Ovis aries: one gene and its partner. The protein of the gene in region 1 interacts with the protein of each later gene in a biochemical or structural test. Links are inferred from orthologs where the notes say so. Each region holds a gene or a part of one and is shown on either strand. Other genes may lie near its edges. The genes, in order: STAT2 and IFNAR1.

Region 1 (3,817 bases):
GGCTTGCAGGTGTCAGAGACAGTGCCTGGGGATGGGGGTGGGGTGAATGATTTAGAGTCCTCTCTGATTGTGTCCTGTGTCCTTTCAGCCCAAGGGTCACCACTGGGAAGCTGAGCAGACTCCAAGCCCTATTCCCAGCCAGCCATGGCAGCGCCTCCTTCTCCGTCTCAAGATCCTTCGAAGCCTCCAGGCCTTTGTGGCTGTAGCTGCCCGGGTCTTTGCCCACGGAGCAGCAACTCTGAGCCCCTAAAGCCAGCAGCTTAAGGATGACACCCAGACCTCCATGGCTCAGTAATGTTAAGATCAATCTATCAACCTAGACACCTGTGAGCCAATGAGTTCATCGGTCCATTAATTTTAATGAGACTTATTCTGTTGAAAAATTACCAAAACTGACTGACTTATGATGTTGACTCAGGAGAGGCTGAATATTTATTATATGGGAAGGGAAATTTTGGGATTATTTATAGTGGCAGGAGCTTGGGGATGAGGATTATTTATTATATTTATACTGAATTATGTACCTTTTTCAATAAAGACTTATTTATGTGGATCTCTAAGTCTAGGCTTGTCAGTAAAAAGAAACAGAATGGAAAAATAGAGTCAAAGCACTATAAAATGCATCCTTCTGTTCTGCAGGGCTATGGTGGAAAGGGGTCTTACCTTGTGACCCCTTGGTATATAGAGTAACTGGGATCTTTTTGGCCATAATCCCTGCTAAGGCTGAGCAAGCTGAATGAGGTTACAAGGGACTGCAATTGGGAAGTATCGTTCCTAGGCGTGGCCCTCTCTTGCTCCTTGACCCAGGGCTTCCTTCCCTGCTTTCTTGGCCAACAGTCAGAGCTGTTATGAGCAGAAAGGGCATTCCAGAAAGATGAAATGAGCACCAGGTTAGTCTTATCAGTCACTAAAATGTTGAAAGCCTTCCATACTGGAAAGAAGCCACTGCCCTGAGCCATACAGGAACCTCCTAACTGTCCTGGCCTGCCCTTGAATGCCTGTACCTCCCAGCACAGCAGGCAGCCTCCAGGCTCCTAGTCGGAGCCATGGGTAACATCTCTTCTGATTCATTGCTGCCTCTCCCTCACCCATATTATGCTTCTCCCTCACATTCCCCCAGGGTTAACCCAGTTTAGAAGGGGCACATGCCTCATGTCCATCCTTGGAGAGCAGTGTCATGATGTGAGGGGTAGGAGGGCAGATGCACAGAAAGATCTGAGGAAATGTAGCTCCTAGTAGTCAGAAGGGCTCAAGGGCCCATCTGCATAGAAGTGGCTGGGGCTGAAGACGTCAGCTTCATCCATGGTGTTCTGGCAAGGCAATAGTGGATCACCGTTTGGCATGATTTCTTCAATCTTCATGCTGTTCCTAAAGACTGGATCATCCAGAGAAAGAAGTCAGGCCCTGATCTCAGAGTAGGAGTTCCCAAACCAGCAGGGAAAGTGAGAGAGGATGGCAGCAGAGGCCTAGATAGGGCCTGAGGGGGGCATTAGGTGGGTTGGGGGAGGCATGTGTATTTCCTAATGAAATGAATTGCAGGGAAATCAGCCTTTCTCCAATGAGGAGCTTAGAACATAGGCTTTTTCTATAGCGAGTGAGGGAGGGGAGTTGGGAAAGGCAATGTGTCCTCTCTTCCCTGGTTGCACATCATCACTTACTTTCCATGTCCTCAGTGTTCAAGTGTCTCAGATCATAGGGCAAATCTGGTTCTGGTATGGCCTGTACATCGAGCTCTGGAATAGGCTCCAGCTGCAGTTGTGGTCCTGGGTGTGGTTCTAGGACTCCCTGTGACACCTCGCCTAGTGTGCGCTCCAGCGTGCGCTCCAGCGTGTGCTCCATGCTCAGATCCAATCCTGCCTCCAGCAGTGGCTCTAAGTCCAGGCCTGGCCCGTGCTCAGGCCCTGATGTGAACCCTAATGACTCCAGCTCTGGCTCCAACTTGAGCTCCGGCAGTTGCTGCAGCTCATCCACCTGTCTGGATACCCAATACAGACAAAAGAGCAGGGCTCAGTTGTTTAGGTGAAGTGGGGAATGGCAGAGAAAGCAGAGGCTATCCTTCTAGTCTAAAAAGGCAACAGAGCAGAGGGCTTAAGACCATAGGCTCTGGAATTAGGCTTACTAGAGTTTAAATCTTATCATTTACTAGTTGGGGGACCTTAGGCAAAATGACCCAACCTCTCTGAGCCTAAACAACCATACTTCAGAATAATTGAGAGGCAGGAGGATGGTTAAAATCAGGGCTCTGGAATTTGAGAGACCTGGATTACTGATTAGCCATGTACCTGAGGCATGACACTTCACCACATTAAACCTCAGGTTCCTCAACTGAAAACAGTAATAACAGTATTTTCTGCCTCACAGGACTGTTATGAAGTCAGTAAATAAGAAAAAGAACACAAAGCTTTTAGCCCAGTGCCTGGCACATAATGAATTTTCATTAACTGTGGCTATTACCATTTCTGGCTTGGCTGGGTTCTCATAAGGATTAAATGGAAAAAAAAAAAAAAACATGTTCTAAAAGAATCTAGTACTATGCTTTGCATTAGTGATGATGATGATTATTGTCAGGGAACCCCCATGGAGACAACCTAGGGATGGCAGCAGGAAAATAGAGGCTAAAAGGGTAGGAGAAAAACCCCCAGAGGGCTGGGGAGCCTGGGTTGGAGGAGAGAAGGCCGAGGAGACCAGAACTGGGCAGGTCTGGGTCACTATATTAGCCAAAAAGGGTTAAGGAAGGTGGGCAAAGAGTTCATATCTCACCTGTTAGAGACAAAAATGAGCTTATGTTTCAGGTATTTCTTCCGCTCCTCAGGATTAACTACGGGGGACAGACACAGGAGGCAGAGGAGGTCAGTGGATTGGACACACTGCCCCAGGGTCCTCTAGTGCAGATGGTCCTACTGACTGACTAGCAGCGTCCCACAGACAAATCCCTTCCCCTCTCGGATGTCGGTTTTCCCATCTTGAAATGGAAGAGCTGCATTTATGGATGCCTGTGGACCCCTGCACTCTACCAGTGAAATGTATCAATGGTTCTCACTTTTCTCCTGGGAGTAGCAACCAAAAGCCTCATCCCGGGGGATTCGCGGGTAGAGGAAGCGCAGTGGGTTCTCGGGTATGTTCTCCTCTGTGAGCATCTGGTACTGGCTGATGATCTTGGTCAGTGGGAGTGACTGCAGCACATCCTTGGTGAAGGGCTGCACAGAGTTGATGAGCACCTCGTCTAGAGAGCAGATGTAGGAACAGGCAGGCTTGAGAGGAGAGGCTGGGCCCGAGGGCTTCCCACCCTGGCTGCCCAACCCCAAATCTGCCAAGGGATTTGGGACAGAGCCAGGGAAGCCAAGGGCAGTAGAGGGGAGGAAAGGAGAGGCTGAGGGAACGGTAGAGCTGCTGACCATCATCTTGGTGTTCCACCCAGGAGCAGGTAATGCCCCCCTCCAACGTTTCACTGAAGCGCAGCAGGAAGGTGCCAGAGACAGTCTTCTTCAGCAGCCGGCGCACCTGGTTCCGGCTCACAAAGCCCATGATACGTCTGCAGCGTAGAGAGCAGCTGTGAGGTCCTGCTGCTTCCTACTCCTCTTGTAGAGGGACAGAGTGCCAGGGCTGGGCCCCAGTTCTGCCAACCTGTTGCAGACTGTTTTGTGTAGGCCAAGTCATTTCATTTGACCAACAGTATCCACCTCCCAGGGCTGGAAGAGGTGTGAAGCTTCAGTGAGATCACACAGATGAAAAGCACCTTGTAAAAGGCAAAGTGCTGCCCAAATGGGCAGGCAGTTGTGGTGGAAAGTGCACAGGGGTGGGGTCAGACAGCCCTGGG
Region 2 (3,817 bases), on another chromosome or scaffold:
TTTTCCAAAACAAGCCACAAAACTTAGAGGGTGGTGTTCATCTCACATTTTGTTCAAATCTCTTTAATGTCTGGCCTAATAAAGAAGACAGCTGTGTCTCACACCCACTTCTGCATCACCAGTCAGTCACCATCTCATATCAAACAGCCTCTAAAAAACTAGAGGGTACACCCACGACAGAATGAAGATGAAAAAGGCAAGTAAGTTTTATTAAGTAAGTTTCCATTAGGAAAATGGTTTTGACTTGACAGATCTCTTGGAGACCACCCTCTGAGAAACACCACTAGAAGGAAAGCAGGAAAATGAAGTCATAGCAGGAAGGAGACACCAGTTTAAGGGAATCTTTGTTCTTTTGGTTTTTTTAAAAGATGGGAGATTTTATATCATGCAAATGAGTGGGCTTGGGAAGTGACCTGTGCTGGTAATATTTAATAAAGAATTCAATATAATTCAGCTGGCAACTTTTTCTTACCTTTTAGAAATGGTACAAATGGCTCAACCTCATACCATGTAGAAGTGTTGTTTCCTTCTTCTGCTCTTATGCGCAATTCAATTTTTTCAAAAACATCTTTAAGCTCGACTGAAGAAAAGTTGCATTTGCTACTAGTAATATGTTGACACCCAGGCAATTTTTTCCAGTTATCCGTCCCTAGTCTTCAAGATAAAAAAGCAAATGAATGAATGAACATTATAAATACAAGAGTGACAAACATGTTTTCTATTGGCATTAACATTATAAAGCCAGTGTGTGCGTTAGTCTCCCTGTCGTGTCTGACTCTTTCAATCCCATGGACTGTAGCCCACCAGGCTCCTCTGTCTGTGGGACTCTTCAGGCAGGAATAAGGGAGTGGGTTACCATTTCCTCCTCCAGGAGATCTTCCTGACCCAGGGATGGAAGCCACATCTACCGTGTCTCCTGCACTGGCAGGCAGGTTCTTTACCTTCGGAGCCACTAGGGAAGCCTCTAAGCTAAGGCAAGTAGTTATTTCTTCTAGTAACTCTACTTCAGTTAATGTTTTGATAATATTTTTGTGTGTAGCATTCTACTACTCTTTTTCATTGCATATACAGCCAAGTTATTATTTATACAGTGGAATCATTCTAACATACCCTCAACTTAATAAAGTTCTGTAATTCTGTGGGTGGTTGCATTAGGATTTCAAAGAAGCAGAGAAAGAACTCCTAAGACGAAAGAGGACTTAGTGTTGTTGGCTTTGTTAAAAATAGTTGTGTCACTTTCAGCCAACTGCTTCCTATTCTGGATCCTCTCTTCCATACTGAAAATCTGGAAACTGGATTTGATTCCCTTCTGATCTCCTCCTAGGAAGAGATTTACTAGCCCTAAGCAAGACCTCAGAATCAGTATGGTTTGAGAACTTCCTCTGCTCTGCTTAAAACCAAACCATCCCTTCTGCATACTGATCTCTGCAATTCCTTCTATTATAGCACCAGAAACAAAGAACGTAACATGGTAACATAAGCTAACAAACTTCTCCATGCGGACTCAGCTCACCAGGAAGCAAGCTTAAGTGACTGCTACTAGACTTTTTTTTAAAGCACATGAAGAAATCAAGTTGACACAGGGTGCCTAAAACAAAAAGGCCATGCTGCCGCAAAGAGGAGAGGACGCTGAAGTGAAGGTGAGCAACAGAAAACAAATACTAGATTCCAGAATTTTTGCCTCTGGAAAGCCCTGTCTGCCTCATACCAAACAGGGAAACTAACCTCTGAGAAGACACTTTTTTAAGCCTAATGCATAGTTCTAGCATAAGCTCATGTTTATATATTAAAGATGCTAAAGTGTCTTTAATAAAGAGCTAAAGGATGGACTTCCCTGGCGGTCCAGCGATTAGGAGTCTGTCTGCCAGTGGAGGGGACATGGGTTCAATCCCTCATCTGGGAAGTTTCCAAGGCAATTGGGCCTATGCACCACAACGACTGAAGACCTCGCACCTAGAGCCTGCGCTCTGCAAAAACAATAGCTCCAACTGGCTGCAACTAAAGACCCAGGGCAGCCAAAAATAAGTAAAAGTTGTTTAAAAAGCTAAGCATATTCTTTACTAAAAGCAATAGAAAGTAGGAGTGGTATCTAAATAATTTTGGTGCTGACTCCAACTCAAGTCTACCTTATTTTTCAAAAAAAAGAAACATTTTTTTTTTTTAAAGGTGCCAATAATAAAAACTACCCTATGGACACACTTCATTCCTGGCCAGTCTGCCCTTCTAACTTTACCTGCTTGAACTCTGAGTAGACTTGGCATTAATAACACCTTTGTTTATTAATGTTCACAACCTTTTATTAAATTATCAAAAATAATTCAGAGATAACAGCACAACAGTGGAGTACACAAAAATGCTATGACATTTCTACAATTCTGTTCAGAAAGATAACTCATCTGGATAGAAATCCTTCATGAAGCTTCTGGAAATCATGACTGGCAGCCTGATTGCCAGTTGTTTGCATATGTGGCATACATATATTCCCTCACTCAGGACATCCTTCGCCCAGAAACATCTGTTTCCTGAGACTGTACACATAACATGTGGACAAGTCTGGATTTAGTCAGAAAAATCACAGCGGTGAGAAGTGCTCCCAAACAGAATGACCTGCGTCAAGCAGTTGTGACTTCCCTTTCACAAGCAGTATTAACACCTTAATTTACATGCAAATCTTCCTGAGAAACTCCTCCACATTAGAATCTATTTTTAAAAATTCAGATTTTAAACATCTAAACCAAAATTCAGTCCTCCCCCATGTCATTTATTAGAAAATACAGTTCTAGAGCAATCAGGAGATATAAGGACGTCTGGGAAGTGGGAAGGGTACACAGACTTCTTTCAATCAGGGGCACAGAGGGTTGAAATAAAGTGAGCTCCAGGCAAAAAGCCAGTAACGCATCTCTTCTCCTGTTACCTGCAGAGCTCTTATTATAAGCAGAAAACATTATAAAAAATTTGTAACTAAGCCTTGATATGGTTTCAACCCACCTTCACTCCACGTCTGTTCTTTCTGCTCAGGAGACGTAAGGGGGCTATTGCCCCTTCTTTTACATTTTCTTTTAAAAAAACTTTATCATATACAGTACTTACATCAGAGTAGAAATATAATTTGAAAATAAATATGCAATCAATAGAAAATTCATTTCTTGAAACCACTGTCATAATAAAACTTCATGCCATCTGTCTCTCTATTCACTAACGTAACCCCAAGTACTGAGGAAAGTATTCGGCATAAAAGGCAATTGGTATTTGTTGAATAAAAACACCATGCTACCTAACATCATAATACATTTTATAATTAAAAAAGCTTTTTGCAAGTTTTGGCTGTGCCGGCTCTTTGCTGCTGTATGTGGGCTTTCTCTCGTTGTGCAGAGCGGGGGCTGCCCTCCAGCTGCAGCGCGTGGGCTTCTCACTACCCTGGCTTCTCTTGCTGCGGAACACAGGCTCTGGCCCATGGGCTTTCGTAGTTGTGGCTCTCGGGCTCTAGAGTGTGGGCTCAGCAGTTGTGGTGTCTGGGCCCAGCTGCTTCACAGCATGTGGAACCTCCCCAGACCAGGGATCAAACCAGCGTCCCCTGCACTGCAGGTGGACTCTGAGCCACTGGACCGCCAGGGAAGCCCCGTCATAATACATTTTAGATGTCAGTCACAAACACTGAGGGCTTCCAGGTGGCTTGGCGGTAAAGAATCTGCCTCCCACAATGTGGGAGACGTGGATTTGAACCTTGGCTTGGAAGACCCCCTGGAGGAGGGCATGGCAACCTACTCCAGTATTCTTGCCTGGAGGATCCCATGGACAGAGGAGCCTGGCAGGCTAG

Evidence for each region.
Region 2: the proteins of STAT2 (region 1) and IFNAR1 form a complex in vitro, tested with the Homo sapiens proteins (2 studies listed by BioGRID). The link is inferred for Ovis aries from reciprocal best matches to the Homo sapiens genes STAT2 and IFNAR1.

The regions. Positions count from the first base shown.
Region 1 is NC_056056.1:163,224,736-163,228,552, reverse strand, and holds part of STAT2 (signal transducer and activator of transcription 2), read right to left. Parts: intron 3,533-3,817; coding exon 3,396-3,532; intron 3,224-3,395; coding exon 3,041-3,223; intron 2,819-3,040; coding exon 2,761-2,818; intron 1,976-2,760; coding exon 1,659-1,975; intron 1,376-1,658; coding exon 1,233-1,375; 3' UTR 251-1,232; coding exon of another isoform or gene 89-250; 3' UTR 1-88. UniProt on the Homo sapiens protein: Signal transducer and activator of transcription that mediates signaling by type I interferons (IFN-alpha and IFN-beta).
Region 2 is NC_056054.1:122,862,452-122,866,268, forward strand, and holds part of IFNAR1 (interferon alpha/beta receptor 1 precursor), read right to left. Parts: intron 655-3,817; coding exon 473-654; intron 1-472. UniProt on the Homo sapiens protein: Together with IFNAR2, forms the heterodimeric receptor for type I interferons (including interferons alpha, beta, epsilon, omega and kappa).